Linked DNA regions of Drosophila melanogaster. The protein of the gene in region 1 interacts with the protein of each later gene in a pairwise test. Each region holds a gene or a part of one and is shown on either strand. Other genes may lie near its edges. The genes, in order: CG14053, CG7148 and SkpF.

What was found.
Region 2: the proteins of CG14053 (region 1) and CG7148 interact in a two-hybrid assay, tested with the Drosophila melanogaster proteins (one large-scale study listed by BioGRID).
Region 3: the proteins of CG14053 (region 1) and SkpF interact in a two-hybrid assay, tested with the Drosophila melanogaster proteins (one large-scale study listed by BioGRID).

The regions. Positions count from the first base shown.
Region 1 is NC_004354.4:2,191,913-2,195,668, forward strand, and holds the start of CG14053 (uncharacterized protein), read right to left. Parts: upstream 1,998-3,756; 5' UTR 1,566-1,997; intron 1,148-1,565; exon of another isoform or gene 1,061-1,147; 5' UTR 1,059-1,060; coding exon 366-1,058; 3' UTR 1-365.
Region 2 is NT_037436.4:21,830,212-21,833,967, reverse strand, and holds CG7148 (uncharacterized protein), read left to right. Parts: upstream 1-1,714; 5' UTR 1,715-1,871; coding exon 1,872-2,422; intron 2,423-2,481; coding exon 2,482-3,178; intron 3,179-3,235; coding exon 3,236-3,352; 3' UTR 3,353-3,424; downstream 3,425-3,756. Other genes in the region: Nopp140, read right to left, coding at 1-788, 991-1,089.
Region 3 is NT_033778.4:23,457,550-23,460,900, reverse strand, and holds SkpF (SKP1-related F), read left to right. Parts: upstream 1-2,141; 5' UTR 2,142-2,214; coding exon 2,215-2,730; 3' UTR 2,731-2,836; downstream 2,837-3,351. Other genes in the region: CG43795 (uncharacterized protein), read right to left, coding at 3,036-3,351.

The DNA.
Region 1 (3,756 bases):
AATATTTTAGGCAGGGCACAAGGGAGAGCGAGAAATTTCGATTTGAACTGGAGACTCAGCTTGGCGTTTATTTGGCTATGGATCGGTGAGCTATTGACCGAGATTCGTGTTGATTCCGACGCTTATCGCTGGGCCGGATAGTTGTTGTTGTCCCGGGTACACAACAACAGAAATCCGTATTTTCGGGCAGTCCGTGTTACTCGTAATCTCTAACGCCGCCGGCAACGAGAACAACAGCAAACAGTGGTCGTCGACGGCGAAGGAATCGACTGGAACAGCAACTGGTGCCATAGGCGTAAAAATAGCGGGATGGGTTTATAAATAACCAAGCTGAAACTAACAAAGTCCGACAGCCAGGAGCGGACTTAGTTCAAGCGGGCTCGCAGGCTAGCCAATTTAGCTTCAACACTTCGCCAAATGCTCTCGGGCAGCGAAGCACGCGTCTCCCTGATCGATGTAGTCCGAGGCGGTGGCATATTCACAGAAGATGACTGCCATACGCGGTTCTTGAAGGCCTCAAAGCCGATCGTCCACAGAACATAAAGGGCGTTCACCACGGACAGTGCCACGACCGCCTTTAGCAACATGCCAAAAAACGAAAAGCGACTTGGTTGATGCTCGGAGTTCCCACGTGGTTCCGGTTCAGTTTCGCTTTCTACAAATATTGTAATTGATACTTCATCATCAGATGCGGCATGACATGGGCATGCTGTCGCATCTTCAGGTATTGATATTTTCAGATCTGTTGGTTCCACCGCCAGTGCGTTGTCTGCATACTCCTGCGAAACTTCTGGCTGCGACACATCTGTCTGACTACCGAGCGTTACAAGAAGCTTTCCGCTGTAAACACTGCAGTCCAGTTCGACGTCATTTGTCTCCAGCAAATCGAAGTAGAAACTGGGGGGCGGTGTCTCGTCCTCCAGCTGGGCCACATCCAAAGACGCTATCCAATGGAACACCTGAAGGGGATCTCTCACGGTGCGCGATGACTGATGGACAGTCTCCCTTTCCCTCTCCACTCCGCATTCGTATAGGTCGTCCGATTGGGAGATGTCCATTACTAGAAAATATATACTTTTTTTAGTTTTTTTTTTTTAGTTTTACGGATAGAAGGAAATATATTCCGGGCTTCCGTAGTGTGTGAAATATGCTTGCTTGAATGAACATGGAGCTTGAGGCGCCTGACACTTGGCAACCGGGTATATATGTACATAGGTTCCTGTTCCAGTTCCTGCTGCGGCGCCAATTCGCTCCTTGCGGCAAGTCAAGCCTGCAGCAGCGCTCCATTTCATCCGGCCTGGACTCCACTATCTTATCAACTAGAAATGGGGCGTGGCATGACCACCCTCGGACGAACTATGCGGAATTGATTCCCACCACCATTCCCGTTCCCGGTCCCCCTCCCGCAATCACCCCTCCCAGCGAGGGCGTTATCAATGGCCTGGCATAATCGGCTATCAATATTGTCGCATTACGACAACCATAAACGCGGAGCGGGAAAGGGTTTGGGAGGGCAGGAGCCGACGGGCGTGTATATAGGATCACGGGTTGGTCGACCAACTCACCTGGGATGGCCTACCTGTGACCGAAGGCCCAGTCTAGTCAGCCTGGTCAGCCTGGTCTTGGGTCTGGTGTGTATTTTTAGCATTAGAAATCACTATTTGTACAGCAAATTATGCGATCAGTGCGAAGCGCGGTCAAGTCTGACTTCCCATGCTCGCTGACTGCGTGACTCCTCACGAGGCCGAGCTGTATGTACCGTTCCACCAAGCCCGTGTAGAGCATCAGACATTCGCTGTGGCCCGCGGGGAACTCGCCGTCTCATCGCCGACCTTGATAATGCACTTCTTTTGGCTGCAGCTTGGATGGCACGCGAGCCTAATCGATTTGTAATTTGAGCTGCAGTAAGGCTGCATGGGCAAAGTTCGATTGCGATTGCAGGGGAAATACAAAAATGATGGGCTGACTGGATGAATATTGCAGAATTTGAATAGGTAAAAACAAAAAAAATGTTTTGAAAACATAAAAAGTAATAGGGTTTGCCATACTGTGCTGCAATCTTCTGCAGCGGATAAAATTCGAAATGCAGGCGATGGAAATAACTGTTTATCCGTGTGCACTGTAAAATAAATTCATTTCTAAGCAAAAAGGAAATAAGAAGTGGGGTTCGACTTGGAATAGAGTATAATAGTGCTCAGTGTGGGTCTAAACAGGCTGTATTCGCTTTTTATGGCCGTTGTGATTTCGATTTACGCACAGTTCAACTCGAGCAAATTTGTTAATTAATATTTAACACTAAGCCAGAAAGGCGTAAGCAATCGAGACCACCCCCGAGGCCCCCCGCTGCCGCCCGAAAGTGCCGTGTTATTTGCATGCAGACAACACAATTGGAAGCACGAAACATGTACGAAATATTATAAACTGATAAGGTGCCTATAATTCACAGCAGATTGGGTCCGATCACTTGGCGGCGCTCTCCCTCTCCCGCTCCCACTCCTGCCCAGAGTTCTCCATGCGCGCTCTTTGGGGCTGACCACTGATAAGGAGCGAGGGAGCAGTGCGAGAGGCCTGGAGAGGAGAGTGCTTCGCTGTTTGCTTGTCTTTGCTGCCGTTCCTTCTTCGGCTGCTCGGCGCTCGGCGTTCTGCTCTTACACGGCTCGCATTTAATTTAATTCGTCGCCTGCCCTGCTGACAGCGACATCGGTTGCGTCTCGCCAAAAAGTAATACTCGCTCCCGCGATTTGGAAGCCAGTGAAGCCATCGGGAAAGGGAAAGCAAAGCCGGGAGTCAGTGTTAGAAGCACCATTATTGCCGTTCAGTGTGACCGAGTGTGCATTCACCGCAAGGACATATCGAGTGTGGCCAGTTGCTAAGGACGCTGTACGTCAAGCACCGCAGTCAAAGTGCGACGCGATCGAAATCGCATTCATTCAGTTTTATTGAACACTCGACGCCCCGTTCAATCCGTAATCTCGACGATTGGACAACTGCAATTGTAACGCGAAGAACACAAACTGTCAACAAAGTCGTAAATTCGCACACTGCGGCAGTAAAGTGAAGCAATCGAAGGGAAAAAAGCCAAAGAGTGCAGGCAGCAACAAGTTAATTACCAAATAACAGGCGAAAGGTAAGTCGCCTGGATCAGATAAGGTGATTGTAACTATCGCTGGGCTAGCGACCAGACTCTTAAATATGTGTGATCTTGTACATCCGATCGGATCACCGATCTCCGATAATCACACCGATCCAATCCTCCAGAAGCGAAGCGCCATCGCCTGGAGTCGGAAAGCCATTCAAATGCCGAGAATGCATGCATTTCGTCGAAACTATTTTTAAACAGATCGTTTCTATACTTTCGGCTTTTTCGGATTTCTCTTTCTCACTTGGCGCGCCTGCAGACCCAGAACGTGGGAGAAAAAGAACAGAAGTGCATTCATTGCTCCCCACCTCCTTTATCGCTCGCCAGGTGGCCGTGATCGATATTGATAGCTCCCTGATATTGATGTTGACTAAATGCGAGACTTGCGTTTACGACTGTGTGGACAAGATCGTTGGGAAAGATTGATCGTGATCCCGGGTGAAGTGGGGATATCAAACAGTGAAACTAAATTCTTCGAATTTAATCTGCTCGTCAAGTTCAAGTTGATACAGCAGTGTATGGCGAGAAGTTAGTTTCCTGCAGAAGTCCACAGGATCAATTTAGAGCACGTTAATAAAATTTTATTAATAATAAAATTAATTGTCATTAATTTCCCA
Region 2 (3,756 bases), on another chromosome or scaffold:
GCCTCGTCTTCAGAGGAACTATCATCACTAGAGGAAGCCCCCTTCTTAGCAGGAGCCAACTTGGCAGCAGATTTAGCAGCGGGTTTGACCTCCTCCTCTGAGCTGCTGTCTTCGGAACTAGAAGCGGCTGCCTTAGGAGCTGGCTTTGCGGCAGGCTGGACGGCAGGCTTCTTGGCGGCTGGCTCGTCATCGGAGTCGCTTTCCTCGCTGGAGGATGCTGCTTTCTTTGCCGGTGCAGCCTTGGCTACAGGCTTGGCAGCTGGCTTAGTCTCCTCATCGGAGCTGCTTTCTTCGCTGCTGGAGTCGGCCTTCTTGGCGGGAGCAACCTTAGTCGTTGTGGCCTTGACGGCGGGCTTTGCCGGTTCTTCCTCGGAACTGCTATCCTCGCTGCTGGACTCAACCTTCTTCGCGGGAGCCGCCTTGGCCGGAGGTGCCTTCACTGGAGCAGCTTTTTTGGGTGCTTCTTCCTCCGAGGAACTGTCCTCGCTGGAGGATTTTGCCTTCTTGCCGACAGCCTTGGCCGGCGTGGCCTTTGCTGCTGGCTTCTTCTCCTCCTCTGAATCGCTGTCCTCGCTGGTTGAAGAAGCTGCCTTTTTGACAGCCTTGCCGTTTGTTAGTGCAGGAGCTGTCGCTGGCTTCTTAGGCGCCGCATCAGACTCAGAGTCTGAGTCGCTGTCTTCGCTGGAGTCTCCGGCTGTCGCCTTGATTGCTGGGATCTTTTTGGGGCTTTTGGTCTGGTAGAACTGAAGGATTTCACTCAACTTTGGGCTGCTTTTGGCGACACTGGCCTGCAAGTTAGAAAAAGGCAGAAATTCTTGGTTATCTGGACGAAGCACGTGGCACTTGCAGCAAGTGGCAGGTGGACAGCTCGATGAGCCATCGGCGGACAGCAAGGCCCTCGGATTCTAGATCAGGAGGACGCAGATACCACATGTTTCGGGTGCATCCAAACCGCACATATTGCACTTGCCGCTCTGCACTGAAACTTACCGCCTTCGTCTTCTGCTGGAAAACCTTGGCTAGGTTCTTGTCCTTGGACTGCAAGTACTCCAGGACGATTGCATCGGCTATCTTTAGCAGGTCTGTCATGATTAATTCAACTATTCGTCAATATTTTCCGTCCGCAAATAATTACTAGCCGCTTGTCCCACAAAAAAGAATGCGCACTCACACGTGTTTTCTACTTATCAGTGGTATGGCAGCACTACGCGGCTGCCAACGGTGTGGCCACCCCTGCACCCCGTTTCTCAACACTGTCAATGCAGCGGGTATTCTTCCCAAGAATAACTCGAAAATGCCAATCAATTGTAATCATTTATTTATGCCACACCGACAAAGATCTTGAAATTAGAAATAACGCTAGGCTACGTTAGACAAAACTAAAATTACAAATTTATTGTTATATATGTCTATGTATATATATATATGTATATATATATATGTATATGTATATATGTAGACATATATAACAATAAATTTGTAATTTTAGTTTTGTATATATATATATATATATATATATATATATATATACATAGACATATATAACAATAAATTTGTATTGTTAAATTTGTTATATATATATATGTCTATATGTCTATGTATATATATATAAATTACTAAACTGTATTATTAAATTGTATTCAAACAATTAGCGTATATATAACATAATGTAAGGAACCTACGTTTTTTGCGTGAGGTATTCAGACCATCCACGACTGGTCACATTGGGGGAGCACCAAAATGTATTTTTGTTTGTTATTCAATTGAGTTGACCTGCTTGAAACGATCCAGAATACAGAAACTATCTCTCGCTCCGGCTATTTTAACAGACTCTGTACCTAGATTGTGTCGCGAGGATCGCATCCCGGGCCATGGCTTCCGAGCCGAGATCCCTAATTCTGCAATTGGACGACGACTGTCTGGCCGAGATTTTCGATCGCTTGCAGGACCTGCCGTCGGAAGTGTCCTTCGCGAGGACTTGCCGGCGAGTGCAGTACATATGTCTGAGCAAGTGGCGCACCAGCCATGCCTACGAGCAACTGGATCTGGAGAAGTGGCGGGTACTGTTGCCCAATCATGAAGACCTGGTCTACTTCCTAACCCAAATGCGTCCGTACATCAGAGAAATGGGCGGCAGCAGCTGTCTGTGCTCCATTCTAAAAGATCTGGACGAAATGCACATTGCAGAGCTGCCCATGGTGACCAGCTTCTACTACGACCCAGACGGCGTCGATTGCTATCCCACGAACCGAAGCATCCGCAAGCTGGCCCGCCTGCTGCCGGGCTTGAAAAAGTTGCGCCTTACCACACCCATCGACGGGCGGTACCTATCCAACTTCCAGCACCTGCAGGAGCTGCACCTCTACGAGGACCAGCACAAGGCGTTTGAGCTGCAGCAGAAGTACCTGGACGAGGTGTGCCGGTAAGTAGTAACCTTCTGCTGCATAATATTTCGCAACTCATTTTCCGTTTGCGCCACAGCACGCTGCACGATCTTCGGGTCCTGGACATTAGGACGTACGATATGATCAGTAAACTTCAGCTGGGAAACTGCCTGCAGAGCTTTAAGAACCTCACTGATCTTAAGCTCAATCTGGCCACCTTGAAACCCATTCTACCCGCCGTTCTGGAGCTGCCCTCCCTCAGGAAACTGGTGGTGCTGCTGGACAACGAGTGGCATATCCCCCCGCTGGTCAGTCCGGATAGCTATGACCACAAGATCCGCGAGGTCAGCGAGTTCTACGAGATCATGGCTTTCAAGGCCAAGGACATCGTCGGCTTTGCCGTGGACGGGTACTATATGCCCCTTGAACCGGGCTGGGATGAGAAGCTGCCCATCTGGACGCATCGCAGGCTGAAGCGCCTGGCCATTTGCAGCTGGACTCATTCGGCAGACTACCTAAAGCGCTATACCTGTATGACAGAGCTGCAGCTGCTCTGCGTGCGCAACTGGAATGACCTAAGCGACGAAATCCTCTTAGAATTCGTGGAACTCTGTCCACGATTGGAACACCTCGACGTGTCCTACTGCCGAAATCTGACGCCAACATTTTTGCCACGGGCCTTGAGTATTCTTAAGCGGCGGGAGCCGTTCAAGCAGAAGACGGGAGTTGGACGTTCGCCACCTCTGAAGCTCTACTACGACCTAAGTGGCTTTGAGGACTTTGTGGATAGAGCGGTTACTATTTCTTGTTTATGTCGCTCTTCTTTTATCTAATCAATCAATCCATTGCAGAACCTAAAGAGCTCTTTGGAATATAGAGGATATATTGTCTTCACCGCCGACTTTCCAGTCGACTCGGAACGCGGTCTGAGCTTTGTGGACCGCGGATACCAATTTGAATTTCACTGACCTCAAAATATGTAAATATACAAGCGTAGATTCATACAATAATTTATTATTAAAATTTATGTTGCACAAAGTACGCCAAATTGGATTATTATTTCAAAGTTTTGAGTGCTCCATGCGGACTTCCGTGTTGTTTTCTAAGGCTGTCCTTCACGTAGTGACAAAGAGCACCGTAGTTAAATTATTTAAATAAATTTGTTTTAATAAAATAAATATGAAAATGAGCTGACGATAACGTGCAACATTTTTACCTTTGTTCCCTGGGAATCATTTATAGCTATGAAATAGCTAGCTGAATACCCCTGATAATATGTATATTGCTACTGCCAGGTATAATAACTGTAAGATATAATTTGTAGTTTGGAAGTCAACTTGTTGTTTCCCCAAAAACTATAATGCAATCGATA
Region 3 (3,351 bases), on another chromosome or scaffold:
TTGCGCAACAAAGTAAACGGGAAATGCCCAAACCAAAAAGCGAGCGGCAACACGGAACAGGATCCCTTGCTGGCAGGGCGATAACAATGTATCACAAAACAATAACTTCAATTAGTATCTATCTGTGTAGCGCTTTCCCTGTGATTTCCCTTTGCTTTCCTCCTTCGAGTTTCCCTTTTTCCGCTGAAGGAAAAGTTTCCGGCCATCCTTGATTATGTTAACACAAGGAAAACTGATTAATACGGGTCCTGATTAGCCGCCATCCCTCCTGCAATTATGAACCAGTATCTGGGCAATCCATTGGATTTATGGATGTCGAGCTGGATAAATCAAGGAAGTGGAGTTCAGTCCCAGAGGCCACATTCCCCGCTGAACAAATAATGAAAACAAATGCCTGGCATATGACACTAAATGCAATAATGTTGATCCCGTGCCAGATCCGTGGCCGTTTGCAATTTAATTTATTGACAGTGAGTCTTTGACATTTTATTGCTCCCCAGGCCAAGTTACGACATTGTCCGCATTTCCCATTTTTCTCTCCTTTTCCCGCCTTTCCTCGCTATCGACCGACCTTTCCCCTCTGTCACTTAATTTGTCGAGCTGCTAGTCGTTTGGGTTAATTGTTTATTTGTGCGTTTTATTGACAAGCGGCAATCGTTCCTTGGATTCATCAGCTTGTAGTCCTGTCGTCCTTTCTGTGCGGCTTTTAACAAATGAGTTTTTCGTTAACAAATGGCTTTGATTTCCTGGCTCAATCAGCGCACAAAAAGTTGTCATCTAAGCTGGAAAATTATGTCATCGGAATTTGGTGACCATCGACGGTTGGACGATATCCAATGGCCTGTTGCACGAAGCCAGCCACACACCCACGTTGCCCTCGTTTTGGCTCAGAAAAAGTTTGCTTTTTTGCTGATTTCTCTATTGCTATTTGCCACAAAGACACTCAAGAAAAACAGAAGGACATAAATTCCAGGTCTAATGTCTGCACGGAGCACATCCCCATCGGCATTGACACATACGATGCGTGCATGCAGGCAAGGACATTCGTACACTTGGACTTTGGACTTTGGACATTGGAACACACAGGACTTTGGAGTCCGTAACTTTGGTGCTCGGACTTCATACCCAGATATGCGAAATCTGAAGAAACTTTGTGTTTATTGTGCCTGGCTGCTGAACAGAGAGAGAGAGAGCTGCCGAAGAAAAGAAGAGCTCAGAAAACATGGGAGCTGGGCTGGCATGTCCTTGGGATTGTCACTGGGGCGGTTATCCTGATACACGATACACTGCCAAATCGATGATGGAAGCGGAATGGACACGAGTAAACAATGAGCACACACATCAGATTGGTCAGCTTGCTCCGTTTGGCCAGCCTGGACAGCTGGAAATTCCAAGAAAAACCAAATGAATTGCCATCGCTTTGGTTGTCCAGGTAAATCAATGTCCTCCGCCAGCTGGCCTTCCGTTTTGGCCACAAGAATGGTGCAAACTTTTTGCTCGGCACGCCTGCCACGCTAAGTAATTGAACTTTTATCAAAAAATTGCACGCAGCCAGGCGGACGGAAAAATCGAAGGAAAATCGCAGGGAAAGCGATGGTAGTTCTGCCAACTATGGCCAACAAGCGACGAGAGCCACCGCAACAAGAAAAGCACATTATGCTCCTTGTTGACAAAGGACACGGGCCAATCTAGATGAGCAGAAAATGGCGAGTATCTGCTGCAAAGTGAACCCCGAGCAATGAGCGATGGTGAATTGAAAAGGGAAAATGGAGGCCAAATCCCTGGTTTTGTTTTTATTTCCGTATTCGAAATGGGCCCTAAATATTTCATATTTTTCTGTTATAACAAACAGCAATAAATTGTGCTGCAATTGAAATGTCCATTGTGTAGAACATGGTAAATACCATTGTAAGCGGCAATCAACTATTACTTATACAACAATAAATATGTTATGAAACTAAAATTGTGTATTTCTGCCAATATCTAATCGATTTTGCTCGTTATATTGAAATAAAAATGTTGTCTAAATTGTTAATAAATGCTATCTCCATTCCATGGACATTTGTTTGAATTTGATGAATCACCAATTTGTTTCCATTACGAATCTGTTCTGTTTAATTTTTAACTGTCAAGTTGGCACTGACAGATTTTCTTGAAAAGTTGAACTGTACCAGATAACCTTAAAGGAAAACCCTTTGTGGGCGAAAACGGACCATGCCAGTCATCAAATTGCAGTCCTCCGATGGCGAAATTTTCGAGACCGACATCGAGACTGCCAAGTGCTCGAGCACCATTAAGACCCTATTGGAGGATTGTCCAGTGGAAGCGGAGAACGACACTCTTATCCCGCTGCCCAATGTGAACTCGACGATCCTGAAGAAGGTCCTCATTTGGGCCAAGCATCATCGCGAGGACATTGCAGAGGAGAACGAAGAGGAAGCGGCCAAGTCCGTCGCTGTGCAGATCACCCCCTGGGACGCCGAGTTCCTGTCCATGGATCAGGGCACGCTCTTCGAACTCATCTTGGCGGCCAACTACCTGGACATTCCCAATCTGCTGAACGCCGCCTGCATGACGGTGGCCAACATGATTAAAGGCCGCACGACGGAGGAGATTCGCCAGACCTTTCACATAACCAACGATTTCTCGCCCTCCGAGGAGGATTTGATGACGATGGAGTCGGAAGTCCCGCAGGAGGACGAGGCGATAGAGTACGGCGAAATTATATAAATTCGAAGTGAACATTTTCGAAGGATTGATGCCTGTTCCGGATTAGAATGTAACTCGACATCCTTACCTATGCTCACAAAATATCACATAAATATCCTTCATATGTATCTTGACCCTCGAATGACCTTCAGGGAAAGCACACTACTTTCTTGACCGCAATTGTTCAGTACGGATTCCATTTCCATTTCCATTTTCACTTGCATTCGCCAACCGTCTGGCCGAAAACTTTCGATTGGAAAAGTTTGGCATGTGAATATGATGTGGGCTGAGTAACTCGGAAAACTTTGTCCGTGACATCCACTCACCTGGTCAGCATATTGGCGCGATTGACGGCCACCTCGGCCTCCACCCGGAACCTGTCCTGAGCATACCGGTCGACCACGCCCTCGCCCAGATTGAGCGAAGTACCAGCCACGCAGTTGGAGCCCATCAGATGCTGCTGCTCGATATACTGCAGGAACTTGGACACCAGATCGATCTTGCTGTCCCGCGCGTTAATCACGTCGGCGGTAAACTGGTTGGACTCCATGTTGTCGCCGGAATCCTCCTCCACATCGCCAATGACCAGCTGCTTGGTCTTGTCATCGACTTGCGCATCCGGCGGATAGCCGTCGTCCATGG